Oreochromis niloticus: one gene and its partner. The protein of the gene in region 1 purifies or fractionates together with the protein of each later gene. This does not show direct contact. Links are inferred from orthologs where the notes say so. Each region holds a gene or a part of one and is shown in the gene's direction. Other genes may lie near its edges. The genes, in order: ndufaf1 and ndufs3.

Region 1 (11,371 bases):
AATGTATAGTTTCATGCATCGGTTAAAATACTCGTCTCCAGCTACATAACGCGCAGCTAGAAACACTTCCCGCAAGTCGAGCTGCCCGAGATTCACAGAATTTACAGAAAATGTTACATTTTTGTGATTTATATCGTTATCGGGACGATAGAATTCTTATATCGGGATATGAGATTTTGGTCATATCGCACAGCCCTACTACTGAATTTGTAAGCTCACTTACAAAGAACTGCATACTCTGTAATGTAGTTTCATTTTAATGAAGAGACAGAATATCAATCAAAACATCCAGAAATAACACATTACATAAATGTTATAAATGTCACTGAGTGAAATTAGTACTCGTTTAGTACTCGCCCAGCCAGAATTAAGGCTCCCACAGATTAGTACACCTGTCCACAAAATCAATTCCTTTCATTTTGACCTCACCACCACCATACGTGAGACCAAAGAGCTGTCAAGAGACGTCAGACACAAGATTGTACACCTGCACAAGGCTTGAATGGACTACAAGACCATCATCAAGAAGCTTAGCAAGAAGGTGACAACTGTTGTTGCAATTACTTAGAAATGGAAGAAATATAAAGAGACCATCAGTATTCCTTGGTCTGGAGCTCCATACAAGATTTTGCCTCATAGGGTGAGGATGATGATCATGAAAAAGGTGGTGGCATTAGATTAAAACTCCATGGGAGGAGCTGGTTAATGATCTGAAGACAGATGGGACTGCAGTCACTAGAACACCATTGGTAACAAATTACACATAATGGACTGAAACCTTTCAGTGTCCGCAAGGTCCCCCTGCTCAAGAAGGCACATATACATGCCTGTCTTATGTTTGCCACTGAACATCTAAAATGATTCACAGAAGATTTGCAGAGAACGTGCTGTGGTCAGACGAAACCAAAAATCAAGCTCTCTGTCATCAACTCAATCTGGCATGCTTGGAGTAAGACAAATGCCAAGTATGATCCAAAAAACACCTTGCCCACAGTCAAGCACGGAGGTGGAAACATTACGCTTTGTGGCTGTTTTTCTGCCAAGGGTAAAGAACATAATTGAAGAGTCATGTACCAGAAGATTTTCTGGTACCTAATATTAGTATTATAATACCTAATATCTGGTACCTAATATTAGTAATATTAGTATTACCAGAAGATTTTTCTGGTACATGAAGACTTTCTGATAAGAGACCCTTTCCCTCAGCCAGAACACTCCAGAGAGGTCGTGGATGGGTTTTCCAGCATGAATGGCCCAAAGCATACTACCAAGGCATCAGGAGTGTCTAAAAAAGCAGCAGATTAAGATAATGCAGTGGCCTAGCCAGTCTGAAAAGTGTGAAGGGAGCTGAAGCTTTGAGTTGCCAAGGAGCAGCCAAGAAAATTAAAGAACTTCTTTATAAGTGGGCAAACATACAAATTTAGCAGAGGGGTCAAAAAAAAATTATTTACCCATACTGCAGTACAAATGGACAGAATTTCTCAAGCCACTTCTCTGTAATTCATATAGTGGGACATGATCAGCAGAAGTAGAACCTTTAAATGTAATGATTAAACCCAACAAAAGCTTATTTTCCTTATTATTTAGCTTCAATCTGTTTCCCAGAAGTAAAATTACATGTGCCTTGTATTTCTCAAAACACATTCCAATGCTAGTTTGATGATTAACTTGCCTCAACTACATTTATGTAATGTTGTTATTCAAGACAACTGCTCGAACAGGACCTGATAACACACAAAAAGAAAGTGAACCTACATACTCCATTACTACAAAATGCAGAAAAAGAACAACAAAACTATGCTCTCTCTCTTTCTCTCACACACACTTGAGAGCTTTCATTAAATACAATTTCTTTCCCTGTGACTTACCGGTAATATAATGCAGGGAGGATCATGTCGGGACACTGATCAAAGATGGTTTCTCTCGTGAAGTTTACAACAGCAGCCATTTGGTTTATTCAAGGCTACAGACTATATAGAGCAGCAAGAATGTAAAGCTTGACAAAAGTGCTATATTCTCACATGGATGAAGCAAGACATTATACGGTATTTGTACTAAAGAGCAAGCAGTCTGAAGAGCATTTGCAATTCAGCTTAGAAAAACAATTGCTTTTTCACATACAGCTCCTGCAGTTTATGTCAACAAAGATTCACAGCCACAGAAATGATAGGTCGAACAGTCTTGCGTTTCACGCATGCGCAGTACTGGAACGTAAGTATTTTCGGCCGTTTCAATGTGGACGCACAACTCTGTGAAAACGACTGAAAACGATAGTTTGGACGCGGAGCGTTTTCAGACGAAAACGCAGTTTTCAAATCTATCCGGGCTAGTGTGGACATAGCCTCAGTTATACTACTATAGGTCCTCCAAAACACTGAGGTCATCTCTTTAGCTTATCATGCATTTATTCACCATTGCTGCATATCATTAACAAGTTCTCTCAGTCTTGCAGTTTCTACTTTTTACCTGTACCCAAAGAAATCCATGTACATCTGCAGTTATTGTCCTCACCAATTTGGCCAAACACATATCCATGAACTCCGAGTCTGCTTTTGTTTGAGGTCTCTTCTTGTTACAAGGGAGCTTTCCTCACCACTGTTTTGAAACGTTTGCTTTGGGGCTAATTTGAGGGTTCATCTCTATGTTAAAAGATCTATAAATTCAACTTGTAAAAGTCAAAAACCTTAACTTAAAGTTAGCTAAATTAAATTTTGCAATGAGCAGTTTCCAATTTTGGAAACTGCTGGCTCTTCAAATGAAAACTCCAATTCAATCTTTGGGAGACTCAGACCAAGTTTCTTCAGCAGCAATTATAGTCATTGTGAATGAGTTGAGTGCTTAGGGTCCATGGTGAAACTGTTAATATCCACACTGAAGTGCTCAGAAAAGGTGTTCCAGGAACCAATCTCAAAATAGCATCGCAGGAAGGAAGAAGTGGCGCAGACTGGACATGAGAAGAACGACGCCTTGGCTACAAAATAAGGTTGGTGAATTACAGGCTTATTAAATTGCCTTCTCCTACACGTTCTGGCTGTCATCACATTGTGCCACAAATTCACACACGTCTTACACATCTATTTTCTAATGCAATTACAAAACAAATTCAGTTATTTAGACCATCAGGGTAATATTGAGAAATACCAACAACACTACCATGCTGTAGACATGAATTGACGCATGCTGCTCAGATTAATGTCAGGCTTAAACAGCAGCAGAGTTGTCGTCTTTCTCCAAAACTGTGTAAACAGGCATGCATGACAATGGGTAACTATGGTTACAGAGTGACGCTGGGAAGCTCATGATTCCCAAGAAAAGATCTTAAATTATTATGCATATGCAAAATCAAGAATGAACCTCAATGCTCAATGCTAGTAATATGGATATATACTTTGTGGTATATATATACTATATACTGACTGCATTTTTTTTTTTTTTTTTTTTAAAGAAAGGCAGGCTAACACACCTGATTGCAACCTTTACAGTGTCTGATATTTCACTATAAAGACTAATTAACAACTTTAAAAAGTTGCTGTTTTCAACTGAAAATCCAAAAGATTTCTGGATTGGTTTAACCACCCAAAGTTTCAAGATCCTAGCAATGCCTCTGGTAACATTTAACACCTCATTCCTCCAATCTTCTTCTTTCACCTGCTTTCTTTAAGGTTCACCACAGTGGATCATCTGCCTTGAACTCACACTATCCCTAGAATACATGCATCTACTCCTTTACTACATCCATGAACCTCCTCTGTGGTTTCTCTTTGTCACCTGCCTCACAGATCTATATTCAACACCTTTTCTCCAATATATCCACTATCCCTCATCTGCATATTTTCAAACCATCTCTGTCTCCAAACTGCTCAATCTGAATTGTCCCTTTGATGTACTACTTTTTTTTTTCTTATCTTGGCATTTTCTGATCACTCCCAGTGAAAATCTCTGCACCAAAGTCCCCCTAACATTCATCTCTACCAACTCCACCCTGCCTGCACTCTCTTCTACACTCATTTTGTTTTGGATGGTTGACATCAGGTATTTAAACGCATGTATCTTCACTACCTCTACTCCTTGCAGCTTTGGTTACACCCATTTAACTCTCGTTCACAAACGTATTCTGCTTTGGTTCTACTGACTTTTATTCCTCATCTCTCCAGACTCGCTTCCATCTCCCAGCTCTCAATACAGATCACTATGTCATCTGCAAACATCAGTCTATTGAGACTCCTGCCTGATCTCACCTGTCAACCTGTCTATCAACACTGAGAAGAAAAAGGGGCTCAGAACAGATCTCCAATGTAATCCCACTCCCACCTTAACCCCTTTCTCCTACCACATACCTCACCACTGTCTCTGCACCAGCAACAACCTCACCTGACTTCCCTCCTGTAAGCACATCAGTTCCTCTCTTGGCACCCTATCACGTGCTTTCTCTAAATCCACAAAGACCGTGCAACTACAGAAGATAACTATATTAATCCGCACTTAACAATCGGTCAAAAAACACGCACGATCAAACCTACTGACCGTTTGAGCAACCGAAGAAGCTGGTCTTATTGACCCAGTCTGATCTTCTGTGGTCACCGTTTCTGTTTTCTCTGGGAAAGGGTCAATTACACGTGAGTTTAAAGGTGATGTGAACAGCGTTGCCAGCTCTTCAGACTGACATGTTTCTCTGCCAGGAGCAGTTTGACAACAACACCACCGAAATAGAACTTCGGCTCATGACGTCATACAGGAGATAATGTTCTGTCTAAAGCAAACGCGACTCCAGAACGGTTTCACTTTGTCAAAAAAAACAAACAAATCCCATTCCAGTTTAGTCTGAACGCTAAATCACCAATTATCCAACAGAGCACGACTGCAGTCACGCAGCTTACGGCTCGAAACCAGTCAAAGGCCCACGGCGCGGCATTTTCATGGCTACATAATACTGCATGATTGCAAGCGTTGGGTACCTTTCATAACTTAACGAGCTGGCTCTGTACAAACTCAAACACTTTCCATTTTATCCAGTACCATACGGAAACTCGTAAACGCTTAGCAGAAACCAAGCTCCATGTTAAGATTTGAGTGTTTTATCACAAAGGAAACAACGGTTGTAAATAAAATAGGCCCACTCAGCGCAATCAGCTAGCACACATTAGCTTCAGCCTCAAACTGTTGTCAACTTCAGAATCCACCGGTGGGGAAAAACGGTAAAAATAACACCTACCTGATCTAAGTTATCGTCACTAGCGCTGTCTTCCGAGTCAGAGTCAATAACGACTCGACCTTTCCGCTTCTTTACATTCACCATGATTAGCTGCAGAGCTAACCCACTTGCTACCACTGTGTCGTCTAATGTAATGCTGTCTACGATAGCCGTCGCTGCTACCTGACTAGCTCTGGAGTCAATCACACAAAGGCGGAACTGCGCATGCGCGCCAGTATAAACAGCTTGATTGACGCAAAGTGTTTAAGTGACATATAAAAGCATTTTTTGTTCTTGATCCCTCTACACTAAATAAGGAAATTCAACTAAAGAACATACTACAGAAACGGAATCGGTGGATATAAGAACATATACAGTTAGCAGAGAGAGGGAACCATATATGAGTACAGGAGTCAGGACAGTAATCTTTGATGCACGGAAGCTGTGTTCAGTGATTACCTTGTGGCTCCAGTGACATTTCTGGTCGAAGGTTTGCTGAAGGAATTTCAATTGTTTTGGGTTACCTGTTTATACTGGGACAACTTTGGGCTAGCATACACCAGCAGTCTGTATTTTTTTTCTTCCCCATATTAGAGATATGTATCATAGTGTATGATAAAACCTAACCCGAACAAGCCCTGATGTATCTACCAGACATTTGCTGCTCCATCGTAGTCAACGTAAGTGTAAACAGTTTACACTGTGTTAAGTTATTAACTGTAATTTAAAATTACTTCATGTAATTTTTTCCGGTTTCAGTAATTCCAGTATGGTTAAGCTTTTATTGATTAATTTGTGTGTTTAGACAAATATCATTCGAAGAAAATGTATCTGACAGTCATTCAAAACCAATAGCACACAATCCGTTTTAATTCTAAGGACTTGGAGGTAAAAGTGTTTATTCACCAACTGTTTAGACAGGGAAAAGAAATCATGACCTCTCCAGAAACTACTTGGAGTCAAGTGATTGAATTAAGAAATGAGAGTGGGAGTGTGGTTATAGAGATGCCCTTCCTTAATCTAGTAATTGTCTTGGTTTGAATTTCTGTCTTTTTTTTTTTTTTTTTTAGCATTGTAAAATCCTTCCAAGATAGATTGGACAGAAACTTCTTTACCATCTTTGCTAAAGTCATTTTTCATCAACATTGTGTTAACACACATCTGAATGCACCAGACCAGTAAACTGCGAAAAACTTCTGCTCAGTTTGGAAATGGACGTGAAGAAAACCCAGGAATACATAACTGAAACAAGAAGCTTTTCATTTTTCTTCATAACTATAGTTGTATGAAGTGGGACAGTTTAAATGTCCTCTATTGAATAATTATACAAAACTATATACATATTGTTTAAAGTGTGTCAGGCCATTATTTTCTTTTTGAGAAACATATTCCTGGTTATATTCATTTTGACTGTGTTACTCTGTGTTATGTATGTCAGCAGTGAAACCTGCAGATCAGCGTTGAAATGTCCCTGCTGAGGATCACACACCTCCCTTCTGGGAGGCTGCTGAGCGCCATCCTCCACCACCAGAGGCTTCTCCCCTCCATCATTCCTCTCACTGTGCCAAAAAGGGCTGTGATCCAGGGTGAATACAAACGGCCCGGCCAGCCCAGAAAGGCCAAGTTTCCCTGGAAAAAGATTAACTTTAACTTCTCAAAAGGTTTGGAGGGAATAAAGAAGCATTTCACACTCCTGAAAAAGGAGTTTACTGACCGCTGGGTTGGCCCTGAGGGTAAACCGATTGTTGAGCACATGCTGGAGCAGAACAGAGCTGTATGGGAGTTCAGAGGTCCAGAGAGCCTGGGGGAGTGGACGGTGTCCTCTGATCGTGAGATTGGAGGCCATAGTGAAGCTTACCTGAAGCTTGGAAGGAACAATAATACCTGTTTTCTGTATGGGACACTGAGCTCTACTCCCCCACGAGATGGAGAAACACGCTACAGTGGATACTGCACTATGCGCTCAAAACAGCCTCTGGTTAGTGTTCATTGCTGAATTCCTTGTTTTTGTAGGATGCAGAAGGGTCCTCCCACATTACAGTTTATGTAAATGCTAATTCCCAAGTCTTTTGTCTCTCCTAGGCTTCCTTTGATAGAAAAAAACACCATGATTGGAGCAGTTTTAACACTCTGCATTTACGTGTACGTGGTGATGGTCGCCCATGGATGATTAACATCTCAGCAGAAACATACTTCTCTCACCAGAAGGATGACATATACTGTTATTTCCTATATACCAGAGGAGGGCCCTACTGGCAGGATGTTAAGGTGAAGTTTATTAAAAAAAAATTATGTAACAAATCTTTATAGGTCTGTCTGAGAGGCATGATAGTATCAAATATGTTGATCAGCCTGAAAATGTTCTTCTGCAGATTCCTTTCTCCAAGTTCTTCCTTACACATCGAGGGAGGATACAAGATGACCAGCATCCTGTCTGGCTGGACAAGGTAGTGCAAAGAAACATTCCTCACAAAGTGATGATAAAACTGATGTATCATTACCTGAATCCCTTTTTAGCTTGTGGCCTTCATTGTTTTTTTGTATTTGTATTTACAGGTTAACACCATTGGGTTTACTTTGGGAGACAAAGCTGATGGCCCATTCCAGCTTGAAATTGATTTCATTGGTGTCTGTAAAGATTATGCACACACAGAGGAGTTTGCCTACGAAGCATACAAGAGGAACCCAGAAGTCTAAGAACTGTTAATGCTGCAATCAGACTGTTGGGACAAATTTGAACTTATATTGACACCATTTCTGTAATGTCATTACAGAATTCAAACTATTAATATTTAATGACTCATGCAGATTGTTTATTATTAAATGATGTATTAAATACCACAGGAGAACAAATAAAAAAAGAGACAAGCTCTTGGGTTAATAACTCTTTTATATGAATGCCTCAATTCTAGCAAAAGTAATAAAGCAAATGAAATTTTTAATTACAAGCTTCAAAATGCAGCAAAACAGGAAAGACTTCAATCACATCAAAATATTATTTTAAAAAAGGGATTAGAGTTGGAGGTAACTGTTTAAAAGAAATGCACAATTTGAACCTCAAAGACGCTAGAAAGTATATTTAAGCTTCTACTACTTTTCTACAAGGGGCTACAAGATGCTGCTGAAACTGAAGCTGCAGACAATGAAATATTTACACTTCAACAGGCTGTACAAACGGCCACGAGCAGGCGCAATATTTTTATGCCATGACAAGGCCTCTTCTTGCCCCAAGGATACTTTCTTTCTTCTGCTTCCGATCTTGTACTTGCTTTGCTCTGCGGCCCTCCCTAAAATAGGATTAAAGACATTCAGAGATGTTGCATGAGCAAACTGCAATGGGAGAATTTTCAGTGTTAATTAAGGACCTACCTTGACTGGACTTTGTGCTGTTTGTAAGCTTCCTGATGTGGATTTGAGATAGACTGGTTCATGGCCATGTTTTCTTTGACATCTCCAAATGGCTTCAGTTTACCTATGTATAAAATAAAAGACTCAATGCTACATCTCATCCATTCAAATAGTGTTTCACACGAACAGGGAAAATGAGAACATTTTTATACCTTTATGAGGCTTGTAGGTGAGGGGACGTGACAGACTCGCCTTCAGATCAAAGCTGGGTTTCTTGTTTGTGCCAGGCGTTGTTGAAGTGCTTGTGTTGCCAGTGAAAACAAATGGTCCTTGCAGAGTGGGGGGGGGGGGGGGGGGGGGGGAAATATCATCATCTACGATGTTTAGAGACATATACTTCAGATATCATTCAAAGGGTTGAAAGGTCAAAGTACCTGGAGTTTTTGTGGCCGAGAAAGATGCAGTTTTGACACTGCTGGGCTTTAATCCGTTGGCGGTCTGTTTCTGAGGGGTGCTGGAAGCCACGCAAGGTGACATGCGTGCAGGTGTCTTCACCAGTGACCTTTTATATTCATTGTCATGAGTAGCTTCTGAGAACCTGTATGTAGACAGTTCTCATTAAAGCATTACATTGAATACAAAACTTAAGTTTCAATGTTTTCACTTTGCAATACCACTTAAAGTTTATTTTTGCAGTTCCACTCTTGAATTCAGGTTAATCCTTTAGAATGACCCATTATTTCACCAGTGTTTGTAAACAGAGACTGCATGGCTAAGTCACAAGTTTTGTACACCTGTGTGAATGTGATTGATAACTAATGAGAAGATTAAAAGACTGTGTGGCTCAGTACTTTTGTTCATTTAAAAGGCATATTAGATCCCCTAGAAATTCATTAGATTTGTTGTATCAAAAGGCCAGAGGACAAAACGGTGACTCACCGAACATTGATCCTGCGAGTGGAAAGAACAGAAGGCCTGAAGGAGACGACCTCCTTTGCAAGAGGTTTTTTGGTGGCTGAAAGCAAAGTGTGCCTGCGGTTTCCTCCACCTGGTGTCTTGTTCACTGGGGCAGGGCTGAACATTGAAGCACGAGTTGGATTTGCCCTCTGTGGGATTATATACACATGTGCCATTAGTGTGCTTTAGAAGTAATTGATATATACATTAAATGTGGGTGACGAGTAGATGGTGATGCTTACCACTTGAGCTTTGCCATCAACTTGCAGCAGCTCAGTTTTGTCTGAAAGACTCTACAGGTAAAAAATAAAATAAAGTTCAAGTAAAAGTTAGACTTAATTTTTCCTGAATAAAAATAAGCCAAGATGATTTGGCACCTTTAGTTCCTTGACTGAATTTCTGTACGTCTCCATCTGTTTCGTCTTCCGCTGAACATAGGAATCAATGGACTCCATCTTGTTGAAATGAGCCTCATGAAGTTTTTTGAAATCTAGATAAACAAATAAAATTTATAACATTATTCAAAGATTTTGAAGTGTGTGTGTGTGTGTGTGTGTGTGTGTGGGGGTGGCACCAGTACTGTAAGTATTGTTTTGTAGTTTTTTAAAATCGATTAAGGTTTTATTTACTAAAGCAAAATAGATGTGCATCATCAACAGGAAAATGTACAGATTTCTCTGAAATTCTGAAATAAAGTAAGACAGGCTCTGCTGTACATAGCAGAGACTCCTATAAAACTTTTGCTGAATCAGGCACAAAAAGAACAATATCATGGTTAACTTAAATAAAATACTTTGTTGAAAGGGAGACAAAAAAAGGAAAGAAAAAAAAAAAAAACTTACTGGGGGTAACAGGCTTCAACAAAGGCTTACTCTTCTGCTGGAGACGAGGAATTCTACCAGCTTTTGCCCCTTTTGGTGCCTTTTCTGGACACAGACATTTAAATTTAAAATTTGTGCGAAAGTCAATGATCTTAAAATCCAATGAAGAGAACTTAAGTGTGTATCAGCTTTTATCAACTATTACTAACCTGTTTCAGCAGTCACTGGTGCTTCATCCTTAATGGCAGGCTGTAGCTGCTGCTCCTCACGGTTAGGAGTCTGGATCTTTTTAGGAGGCTCATTTTTTTCTTTATCGATTGTAGACGACACCTTTCTCTTCTTACCACCCCTGGCATTGCAGGGTGCAGTAGATGCATCAACTTCAGTGTCACCCTTAAAAAGAAAAATAATCATAAAAGGTTTTAGACCTCCAGAATGCAAAGAACTTAAACAGCTGCAAAGCAACCCTATACACAGGGATATAGAGTGCTTCAGATGTATTTATGTTGAATACAGTGTAATGTATAATACCTTTGCAGCAACTGGAGGCATCTTGGCATCGCTTTTAGTCAGTGTGGCAGTAACAGAGATTTTTCTCTTGGTACCCTGTCCTTTACCTCGACGTGTGTTCACAAACCCAGTAGTGCTGGAAACTTCCTCCTTGCAAGATGAATCCAGGACAACCTCAGGTTTCGCCTGAGCTTCATCATTAATACCTTGCCCCTGGAACAGTCATAAACGCATTAGCGCTGTCCACACGAGATGCTGACAACAAAGCCGATACATTACAGAACAGCAGTAAGTTACCTGCTCCTTCGGCTCTTTGTTCTTTTCTTCTTGATAATGCTGCTTTATTGCCTTCAGAAGTTTGTCGGCCTAATGTTGCCGGAAAAAACCGGGAAAAAAAAATGCATTTGAGTGTAGTTTGCACAACACACGTTGACGTTAGAGAACAGCCAGCTACCGTTAGCGAATACAAGGTAAGTCTACCAAACCTCGCTAGAAGCTAATTTTAAAAAAGTAAAGCTCCCTTACCTTCATGTTCGCCTTGAGT
Region 2 (11,635 bases), on another chromosome or scaffold:
ATCAGCTCGAGGGTCGTCAGGTCCTGCGCGGACCAACTGTGTGGGGTGATGGAGCACCTCTTCAACCTGAGCCTGAGGCTGGGAAGAGTCCCACAGTTCTGGAAAACTTCCTGTGTTGTTCCAGTGCCAAAGACTTCACGCCCCAAGGACCTCAACAGCTACAGGCCGGTGGCTCTGACATCCCACCTGATGAAGACCCTGGAGCGGCTGGTCCTGGCTCAGCTTCGGCGCCTTGTGAGCTCATCACTGGACCCACTTCAGTTTGCCTACCAGCCTGGCATTGGAGCGGATGATGCCGTCATTCACCTCCTACATCGTTCCCTCACTCACCTGGAGACCGCTGGGAGCACTGTGAGAATCACGTTCTTTGATTTCTCCAGTGCCTTCAACACTATTCTTCCCTTGGTTCTGAAGGACAAGCTGGAGAACTCTGGAGTGGACCATCATCTCACTACCTGGATTTTGGACTACCTCACCGACCGACCACAGTATGTGAGGACTCAGGGCTGTGTGTCTGACAGGGTCGTCTGCAGTACGGGGGCCCCACAGGGAACGGTTCTGGCTCCGTTCCTCTTCACCATCTACACTGCAGACTTCTCCCACAACTCCACCCAGTGCTTCCTGCAGAAGTTCTCTGATGACTCTGCAATAGTCGGCCTCATCACTGATGGGGACGACAAGGAGTACAGAGGACTGACTCAGGACTTTGTGGACTGGTGCCAGCTGAACTACCTCCAGATCAATGCCAGTAAAACCAAGGAGCTGGTGGTAGACTTCCGCAGGCACAAGCATCCTCCACTGCAACCACTGAACATCCAAGGTATGGACATCAAGGCTGTGGACAGCTACAGGTACCTTGGTGTTCATCTGAACAACAAACTGGACTGGACTCATAACTCAGACGCCCTCTACAGGAAAGGGCAGAGCAGGCTGTACCTGCTGCGGAGACTCAGGTCGTTTGGAGTGGAGGGCCCACTCCTGAAGACCTTCTATGACTCTGTGGTGGCCTCAGCCATCTTTTATGGTGTGGTCTGCTGGGGGGGCAGCATCTCTGCTGGGGACAGGAAGAGACTGAACAGGCTGATCCGAAGGGCCAGCTCTGTTCTAGGATGCCCTCTGGACCCAGTGGAGGTGGTGAGTGACAGGAGAATGGTGGCTAAGCTGTCATCCCTGATGGACAACATCTCCCACCCCATGCATGAGACTGTGACAGCACTGAGCAGCTCCTTCAGTGGGAGACTGCGGCACCCACGGTGTGGGACGGAGAGATTTCGCAGGTCTTTCCTCCCCACTGCTGTCAGACTCCACAATAAAGACTTTTGCAGCTGATCAAACACACAAACCCACACATGTGCAATAAGACTGCTATATGTGCAATTCTTCTTCTGACGAAGTTGTGTTTTTGTATTTTCCTACTCAGTTGTATATAGTATTTGTATTTCTATTTTATTCTATTGTATATATTATTCTATTCTATTTTATTCTATTGTACATAGTATTTTATTTTATTTTATTTTATTGCATTCCAGTGTTTTCTAATTTCTGCTACATAACTTTGCACTTTTGCTGTAACAAAACAAATTTCCCACCTGTGGGACTAATAAAGGCCATCTTATCTTATCTTATCTTATCTTTTGCTACCATAACGGTACGAGTTGTATTTAACTTACCTCTACATGCTTGCGCAGGTTTGATGTGGAATTTTTAAAAGCTGCTAACTCGGTCTCTCTGGGCAAACACAGCTTACACTGCATAATAAAGCTGTTGCCTTTCTTGCACTTGAAGCCGAAATGGTCCCTTAAATACGGCCAGGGGTTCACATCCGTTTCTTCGAGTTCAGGGTCAGCAGAATTCGACGGGGCTTCTTTTTTCACTGGATCCATAACACCGATGTCAGACTCCATCTTTAACGTGACCTTAGCGCCAATTTGTTCTACTACCCATCATTCCCTGCAGTATTTCTGAAGCGCAATGTTTTTTTTTTATTTTTAATTTACTCAGTAACGGGTGTGATTGAAAACGTAGCGAACTACAATACTTTTTAAAAAATATACTTAAGTAAAAGTAAAATTACAGACTTGAAAAATGACTTTAAAAAGCACAAATACACAAAAAAACTACTCAATTACAGTAACGCAAGTAAATGTAATTTGTTACTTTCCACCTCTGCTTGTATGAAGAGCAGAGAAAGAGACTGGAAATATATTTTGTCAAGACCTCATAAAAAAATGGAATAAAGGAGAGAAAGCGTACTTAGAGCGCTGCTCTCGTGGCAGTTGCAGTTTTCAACTCAGAGCTGATGACCTGTTTTTGCTGTTGCAGCTGGTGGAAACAGAAAATGTTCGAGGGGTGATCACCATGAACGAAGAGTATGAGACCAAATATTTCTGCAACTCAGCTCAGGTGAGTTCCCTTCGTTTGAGTTCCCATTATTAAGTTGAGGTGCAGTTGAATCGTCCTGCTCATATTTGAAATGACCCTGTGCTGTCATGTATATGCAAGATAAGTTAAATACTGATGTGTGATAGAAGTTCAAACCCTAACAGTGCCAAAGAGCTGCCCCTCATACACTGTGTCATTTATTGTTGCGGCGCTGATGCAGGAGTGGCAGGCTGCTGGTGTGGAGCAGCTCAGGCTGAGCACTGTGGACCTGACTGGTGTCCCCAGCATGGAGAACCTCCACAGAGGCGTGGAGTTTGCACTGCAGCATAAAGAGCAGGGAACCAGTGTGTACGTGCACTGCAAGGCTGGACGTTCCCGGAGCGCCACATTAGCTGCCGCCTACCTCATACGGGTCAGTATGAAACTGTGAGGAGGTCGCGCTCAAACTGCCACCTGCTGTTTGCAATAGAGATGGCACGATACCACTTTTTTATGTCCGATACCGATGTCATAAATCTGAATATCTGCCGATACCGATATGAATCCGATATAGTGTGTTTTTTAATCAATAAAACTTTTTTTAATATCTTGCTGCATTTTGTATAAGTTCATACTCAAGTTTAAATAAACAACAACACTAAAGCTATTCTGTTATACCTGTATGTAAAAAATACACTGCAGCCAAAATATTTCATAGTTCAGCAACACTGATCAATCTAATAAACTTAAACCTGCTCCATCCTCCCTATTCTGGTATTTTAAAGAGTACTTAGCAGAAATATTAAGCAACCTAACTAATAGGGTTGCAAACTCCCAGCAAAAAAAAAAAAATAGGGAACCACCCCCCACCCTCCACCTCATGATGCTTAATCGACGTAATCAACTTTAATTTGATGCAGGGTGAAAAAAAATGCACAGAAATAAATTATTTTTCAAGAATAATTAAATAGATTCAACATCTTTCTTCAACAGAATTGCAGAATTCACAGATGGTACCTTCCCAAAGGAAAAAGTAGTATAGCTTACTAGGGTATATTAGACTTAACAGTTACTATATACAGTAATGGACTTCTATACATTTTACATCAGATTAAAACTTTGGGTGTAAGATTCAGATAATTATTTATTAAAAGCTCGACATTTTAAATGAGAATAAGAAAGAAAAGTATGTCTTTGTGCCCCCTTTTCCCTGTTCATGCCCTATCGGCCCCCCTGGCTAAACTTTGCTAGATCCGCCCCTGCACAGTTACCAGCCGTCAGCTACGTAGAAAAGGATCCTGGTGTAGAAAGTAATATTAAATACATTCTAACAACAGCTTATCAAGCTTAAACTTGCTGCTGTTGTTCCGCCGCTGGTTTCCTCTTTCTGGTGCAAAGTGGGCCAAAAACAAAGAAGAGAGACGGACTCGCGACAGAAAAGCCGATCAGCTGATCATTGATCAGTTTCATGATTGAAGTAGCGGCAGGAGAGGGAGAGAGAGAGAGAGAGGCAGTCGCTCCATATATCAGTTGTTAAGCTTAACGCGGGAACGCTTTACTAACATTCAGAGATGAACTTACACACTTGCTTTACTTCTCTCTGGGATAACTTCCTCGGAGATGAAATGCTGGTTTGGTAGCGAGGCTACAAATACACACAGCCGCTCTATCACATGACGCACACTGCTGTAACGTGCTACGGTTATGAGCCGAGTTACACCGTGTAGCAAGTTTTGTGAGGTGCTTTTTTGATATTTAATGGATCGGATTACATTTTTTATTTCTCTCCGATATCCGATCCAGTAATTTAGGTCAGTATCGGACCGATACCGATACGTAATATCGGATCGGTCCATCTTTAGTTTGAACTGCAGACAGCAGTTTGCACAAAAACAGAAAGTGGAGAGAAGAACATCCCACTTTTCATGGTAACGCAAGATAAAGCATAAAGGGCAGATAAAAAATAAAGACATAATTAATAAATAGAATAATAAATTCACATTTGTTATGTTGGATAATTTTGAACAAGTAAGAATAAGGCGGCAACAAATCAGGTTTTTACAGGAAAAATAATTATACTGTCATAAAATCTGAGCAGCACATAAGCACTTTTAAGTACTGTGTAATTTCCTGGTATTTTAGCAGCAAAACAAACAACATTTCCCTGTATTTACGTCATAAATACGTGTTACTTTCTGTGGAGCAGGCAATATTACAGAGTGGACTAAACATGCCTAACCTGCATGTATTTTAGAGGAAAGGAGACACAATTAGTGTATTGAGTATTGCGTAACTTATTTTAAGTCAGGGCCTCAAATTCGCGGCCCGGGGGCCACTTGAAGAAATCTCATGCAGTGTGTCCTTGAAGTTCTTTAAAAAGCTAAAAATGATTGAACATGAAGGCAGCATGAGCAGAGAGCACAAACATGCTGAGGGATGGGCTGTTAGCTCGGTGACAGAGTCACACTTATGTCTGCAGTTTATTTTGTTAAACACAAACACAATGACGGCAGCAGTGCTGCCACGCGTGTGCACAGACCGAGAGGACCAGTGTGTTTGTTTGGTGGTTCGATAAAAATCTGCGTTCATGTTTGCAGTTTTGTCTCGTTATACAATATTTGAAATTAAAAAAACAAACAAAACATTTTCAGAAATATTTGTGGTGTTTTCTTGTTTGTTTAGTTTTTTATTACTACTTGAACACAAAGTGGTCCTCCAATGAGATGACATCATTTCAGTTTCAGAGCCTGTTTTAAGTAGTGTGTAATTAGCTGGTAATTTTGCAGAAAAACAATATTTTTGATGCAGTTTTCGTGTTGATGACTGTAAATGTGGAGTGACTTAACCATCCCTTTTTACATCCTTATTTTGTTACACTGTGTACATGATGGATTTTCAGTTATTCAGTTGTTCTTTTTAACTTACAGTGTACTTAAATTACTTACACTGTAAGCTGTGTCTCCTTTCCTCTAAAATACCCGAGTCAATCCATAACACGACTCTGCGTCTCCTCCTGTGTGTTTCTCCTTCCCTGTAAAATACCCAGAAACTGGCCGAGGTTAATCCGCTTCATAATATGGCCCGCTCCCTGAACAGTACAGCATACTGCTAAATTACAATGTAATATATTTCTTTGTTTCCTCAAAAAAACAGACTTTTTACCCTCTTATTCCAGCGTACTTACCTTTAAAGTAGTGGTATGTAAATATAAACACATGGTCATTTAAAAAAAAAAACACATGCCACATTTCAGCTCAGTTTTTGACACGTTTACCTCCACATGCACTGAACCACAGAGTGTTTAAGTCAATTTTCCAGAGTGGTGATTGTATGAAACATGCTCATGGCTGATGAGTCGCTCGGGTACCAAGCGACAGGTTTGCTGTGTTGACCGTTTGCTTTCCTGGTGACAGTTACACTGCTGGACTCCAGAAGAGGCCTGTCAGAAGCTGGCATCTGTTCGACCGCACATCCTAGTACGCTCCGCTCAGCTGGAGATGCTGAGGAAGTACTACCAGCAGATGTGTGCACAGTCTAGCTGAGAGAGCGGGGCAGTGTGTTCCCGCTGGAGGTGGGAGACGGCGACTCAGAGCCTCCGTCAGAACAACCGTAACAGGAAATGCAACTGTTGCCTTTTCAGCAAGTCCTCTTTGGCATGTGTACAGCTACAGAACAGAAGATGTTATTTATCTGTTTTTTTTACTCTTTAATATAATTTTGTTGAAAGAAATTTTCCTTTTTATAATTTGATTTCCAGCCACGTTATTCTGTTTTAACTAACAAACTAAGACAAATCACTGCAGTGCGATCAACCTTTTTTCTTAAAAAAGAAAACACTCCCGTCAGAGCCGGCTGATGTCAGCTGGAGTTTAACCAACAAGATGAGAACACTGTAGTGAATAATTCAGTAATGAAGGTGTTTCTGTGTAGACTGGAAAATATTTGCTTTATATTTTTCTGCAGTGCCTCATAATGTAGAAAAATGACCATAAATAAATATTTATGACATAAAGAGTAATGGTGCTTCTTTGTTTTCAGTACTTTGGTCTTATTGGCAAGCACATATTTAAATAAAGTTGGGATGTTCCAATGTGACAGTCATCAAGAAGGTTTAATATGAGGACGGAGTCCCCGAAGCAAACAGACATGAAACATGTTCAAGTGATAATACACTGTTAGATTCTATTTCATGCAAACAAATAGAAAAATTAAATTGAAGTAAAACAAAATAAAACCTAAATCTAACTGTAGCGTGGACAAACATTTGGTCAACTTTTACTCGTAAAGTGTCCAAACGTGTCATCCTAGTAGGGTAGCTGTTTATTGGAAGACCATTTAACTTTAGCATTTAATATTAGTTTCAACTGAAACGCCGTTGGCTAACAGCAGTGACCATTTTATGCCGGACGATCTTCCTGACACAACCTTCCTCTTTAATCCAGACTTGAGAGGCCACTAGGAGTAGTTTGACTTATTGACCGCCACTGCTGTGTCCTATCATGACGCATTGTTATATAAATCGTGGTATTTTAAGCATTTGCATAGTTTGGAGCTAAAAATTACACTCGAGTGCCAAACTCAATTAATTAAATACATCTGTAAATAACTAAATGTAGCACTGATTAATTAAAATTTGAAATAATTTATTCAGTAATTACAATTTTAAATATTTAATTATATACCATTTTATTTTAAATATTTAATTAATATTTTTTTAATTAATTCATTTGGCGCTCTGTTAAAATGTGACGTTTGAATATTTCCGTTTCAGTGTACTTTCCAGGGCACCGCGCAGTCATTGAGTGACATTTGTCTTCCCGTCCACGAGGGGGCGACTGGCCGCTAATAGTCAGCTCTCGAACCGAAGAGAAAACTTGAGAGAGCCAAGATGGCGGCGTCGTTGGTACGGTTTGTCCGCGGAGGTCTCGGAAGGAGCTTTAATAGTACGTTAACTATAAATTCATATACAGGCTGTAAATTGCAGTGATTCGTTTTAGCCTGCGTCCGTTTGCATGCTACCAGTACAGTGTCGTCTTCAGCTGTCAAATGCTCCGTGTTTGACCTTCGAGCTAGCTAATGCTACCTTTAGCCAGCTCTTGTGTAGCAGTGCGGATTCACTCGTCAGTACCTCTGTGATTGATCCTTTCTGTCTGTCCCTCCTCAGTTGCGAGGACGTCGTGTCTCCTGCAGCAGCAGACCAGACTGCAGGGCTCCAGCACCGAGACCAGACGTGAGTACACACTAACTCATCCTGCAGGGTAGTGTCGCTGCACCACCGAGCTGTTTGACTTTAGGACTAATAGCTGTCAAATGTTTGGGGACCCCAGACTTAGATAGGCATTAGGATTTGTTTTTACTCAACTAGTTAACAGGACGTTACTGTGGGAGTATGGAGCAGCAAATCATAGTTTGTACCTACGGACATGGTTGCAGTGACGGGTTGTTTTTGTCCCCGGGACTAAAATTACACAGCAACGTTTTACAGCTTAAAAAAATAAGATGCTTTAAAAATATCCAGAGGATCCAAATATAGGTAACAGCACATGGAGTGGGGTCCATAACTAAAGCTGCTGTGTGATGTTATTTTGCTGATAACATTTGTCTGCTGACAGACACACAAAGCTCGACCTGTCAGATAAAGCACTAAATACATCAAATGAAAATTTAGTGTTTTCCCAGCAGTAAAAGACTTTCATGACTTTTGTGCCCGTGTCAGATGAATGAGAAAAACCTCTCTGGTACACAAAGTTGGCAACAAAGAGGCGACCCTGTGTGTATGTAGCACAGCTGCTGGCTTAGTGTGCCGCTTCTTGAAGTCTGAGCTTTGGGCTGAAACATCTGTGTTGAATCCTCCTCAGGAAGGGGAGTCCCAGTAATGACTCATGATGTTGCCTTTAGCTTTACAATCTGCTAATGAGCGGTATGACTGGCTTTGACATTTTATATTATTTGAAATGTTAAAGCTATACGTGGACTTTTAGTTACATTTGTTCATAAAGCCAGTAATAATAGTAATACATTTATAACTGTGAATATCCGGTAGCTACTATGTGAATATGACAGGAGTGGGAAACACTACCTCACCCCTGCTGCATCAACATGAAAATGACAAAATAGTCTATTTCCATAAAATATTTGTCACACAGTCATCACAATATTGAGTAAAACTTAGTTTTGGCTTCTCCTGAATATTTAAAGCCTATGGAGACATCATTGCAGTATAGAGTGTACAGTGTTTCTTCACAGCACACAGTTTACTTATACAATACAGGCCCAGTGACAACATTAACTGCCAACTTGTCAAAGCTTTTAAACAGGATAGTTGGGATAGTACCTTGTCTGAAACTAGACACCATGGTGACTAATGAAAAGTAGCATGAATCCATGAATCCAAGAGTCCAGACCTCAGAGGAAACTTGCAGGAACAAGTGCTGACCTACTGACATCAATTTTTTCAGTAACCTTGGGAGGCATCTACAGGTTGAGAAAGGCACACGCTCCTGACATCACAAGAAGCTCTGTGGGTCATTGTCAGGTCGAACTGGGATAACAGGGTTTATGAAGATCGGCTGAACCGTTGGAGCTAGCTCGTGTGCTGCAGTCAGTAAGCAAAGAGACATTCTGAAATGAATGGACACGGTTCAGATGTTCAACTTTTCACTGAAAGGTTTTCGTTGATGAAATCTTTATTTTATATTCAAAATATTTTATTTGCTTGATTTTATTTAGTAAAGTTAGGAGCACCGTCATTGACCCTGAAGTTGCTGTTATATTAGCACTGATTCCCAAACTGTCCCTCACAGTGACTTTATTATTTCAACACTGGTATCGGATCAGCGATTGGTGTTGGCAGAAATTTAAACCCAGATATTGTAATTAGGGATGCTGACCTAATTTACTGGATCGGATATCGGAGAGAAGTAAAAAATGTAATCCGATCCATTAAATAACACAAAAGCAGCTCACAAAACTTGCAACATGGTGTAACTCGGCTCATAACCGTAGCACGTTGCAGCAGTATGCGTCACCTGATAGAGCGGCTGTGTGTATTTGTAGCCTCGCTACCAAACCAGCATTTCATCTCCGAGGAAGTTATCCCAGAGAGAAGTAAAGCAAGTGTGTAAGTTCATCTCTGAATGTTTGTAAAGCGTTCCCACGTTAACCTTAACAACCGATATATGGAGCGACTGCCTCTCTCTCTCCTGTTGCTACTTCAATCGTGAAACTGCTTAATGATCAGCTGATCGGCTTTTCTGTCGTGAGTCCGTCTCTCTTCTTTGTTTTTGGCCCCTTTGCACCAGAAAGAGGAAACCAGCGGCTGAACAACAGCAGCACGTTTAAGCTTGATAAGCTGTTGTTAGAATGTATTTAATATTACTTTCTACACCAGGATCCTTTTCTACGCAGCTGACGGCTGGTAACTGTGCAGGGGCGGATCTAGCAAAGTGTAGCCAGGGGGGCCGATAGGGCATGAACAGGGAAAAGGGGGCACAAAGACATACTTTTCTTTCTTATTCTCATTTAAAATGTCGAGCTTTTAATAAATAATTATCTGAATCTTACACCCAAAGTTTTAATCTGATGTAAAATGTATAGAAGTTGTTAAGGTTCAGAAATATAGGGAAGGAAACACAGGAGGAATGCAAGTAACCACACTGGTCCAAAGAGTAAAGACGATGATTTTAATGAAAAAACACGCGTGGGAGAATGAGCGGACTCTATGAGCAGACAGCCCCACAATCTCATCCTCCAAACATCAAAATACAGTTTTATATGCATCAGAGTATATTTAGTGACGCCCCCTCATTGCGTCATCACATACATCAGCTTCAAAACCACAAATGTTCCATTTGACAACTTAAGACACAATTAAAAGTACACTGGCTTCCATCTTCTCCCCGGTGGTTTCCCGTAAGCCAGCTCAGCTCTCGCATCGTGCATCTACTGCTTCATCAGTCAACTTTCACCTACACCCTAACAGCGTGTGTGTGTATGTGTGTGTATGTCTGTCTGTGCGTGCACAGATGCTCTCTGCACCTTAGTTGACCTCAACTTAGGCAACCAGGCTAAGGCCATCCTGTGTTGTGATGATCTTGACTTATATGTAAAATGTATAAAACAACTGTTTCAATCTAACACAACTACTTACAACTTAATCAGAGATATTAATCAAAGATAAATGCATAATAAAACACCCTGCTCTTAACTTGCACTCAGACTCTGCTTTCGGTTTCACTTCCTGCAAAAGCATGTAACTTCAAAAACATATAACTTCCTGTCTTCTTTTAGCACCGAGTTACTCTTTCACCCTGCAGTCTGCATAAACATTTAAGATTATAAATTCAAAAGCATTTCGGGTTATAGATTCAACTCAACAGTTTGAAGTGGTTATAACTGGACCTGTAATAAAGGCTGATATGATACCAATATGTTTGACCATTTGAATGCAATATCAATACCTCTTGTATCAATACTTCTTGTATACATATACTTGCTATATGATTATGATGCAACAGTAATGTCAGTAATAACAGTAATAACAAAATAATAAAAATAGAATTAATAAAAATAAAATAATACATGGAAATAATAAAAATGACAAAAAATAATACTTCCTTCCCAACAAAGTCCATTACTGTATATAGTAACTGTTAAGTCTAATATACCCTAGTAAGCTATAGTACTTTTTCCTTTGGGAAGGTACCATCTGTGCAGTCTGCAATTCTGTTGAAGAAAGATGTTGAATCTATTTAATTATTCTTGAAAAATAATTTATTTCTGTACATTTTTTTTTTTCACCCTGCATCAAATTAAAGTTGATTACATCGATTAAGCATCATGAGGTGGAGGGTGGGGGGTGGTTCCCTATTTTCTTTTGCTGGGAGTTTGCAACCCTATTAGTTAGGTTGCTTAATATTTCTGCTAAGTACTCTTTAAAATACCAGAATAGGGAGGATGGAGCAGGTTTAAGTTTATTAGATTGATCAGTGTTGCTGAACTATGAAATATTTTGGGTGCAGTGTATTTTTTACACACAGGTATAACAGAATAGCTTTAGTGTTGTTGTTTATTTAAACTTGAGTATGAACTTATACAAAATGCAGCAAGATATTTAAAAAACAGTTTTATTGATTAAAAAATTGTAATCAGATTGGAAAATCTGACTCAGTGTTTCCTTAACCCTTTAAAACCGGTCGGAGCGGGCACGCTCCATTTTGCGTAACTATTTTTAAATCCCAGTAGCTCTGCAGCCACGTAAGCTAGAGCAATAATT

What was found.
Region 2: the proteins of ndufaf1 (region 1) and ndufs3 purify together in Homo sapiens (affinity purification with mass spectrometry; 4 studies listed by BioGRID and IntAct, counting the BioPlex papers as one, with this or other methods). This does not show direct contact. The link is inferred for Oreochromis niloticus from reciprocal best matches to the Homo sapiens genes NDUFAF1 and NDUFS3.

The regions. Positions count from the first base shown.
Region 1 is NC_031983.2:22,115,070-22,126,440, forward strand, and holds ndufaf1 (complex I intermediate-associated protein 30, mitochondrial), read left to right. Parts: upstream 1-5,536; 5' UTR 5,537-5,681; intron 5,682-5,785; 5' UTR 5,786-5,871; intron 5,872-6,261; 5' UTR 6,262-6,474; intron 6,475-6,629; 5' UTR 6,630-6,656; coding exon 6,657-7,169; intron 7,170-7,273; coding exon 7,274-7,459; intron 7,460-7,563; coding exon 7,564-7,638; intron 7,639-7,747; coding exon 7,748-7,888; 3' UTR 7,889-8,390; downstream 8,391-11,371. Other genes in the region: RNA polymerase-associated protein RTF1 homolog, read right to left, coding at 5,213-5,296; nusap1 (nucleolar and spindle-associated protein 1), read right to left, coding at 8,391-8,478, 8,561-8,663, 8,752-8,868, 8,974-9,137, 9,479-9,645, 9,739-9,789, 9,874-9,986, 10,339-10,422 and 4 more. UniProt on the Homo sapiens protein: As part of the MCIA complex, involved in the assembly of the mitochondrial complex I.
Region 2 is NC_031965.2:1,581,507-1,593,141, forward strand, and holds the start of ndufs3 (NADH dehydrogenase [ubiquinone] iron-sulfur protein 3, mitochondrial), read left to right. Parts: upstream 1-7,145; 5' UTR 7,146-7,249; coding exon 7,250-7,304; intron 7,305-7,525; coding exon 7,526-7,591; intron 7,592-11,635. Other genes in the region: ptpmt1 (phosphatidylglycerophosphatase and protein-tyrosine phosphatase 1), read left to right, coding at 2,323-2,403, 2,603-2,794, 5,775-5,903.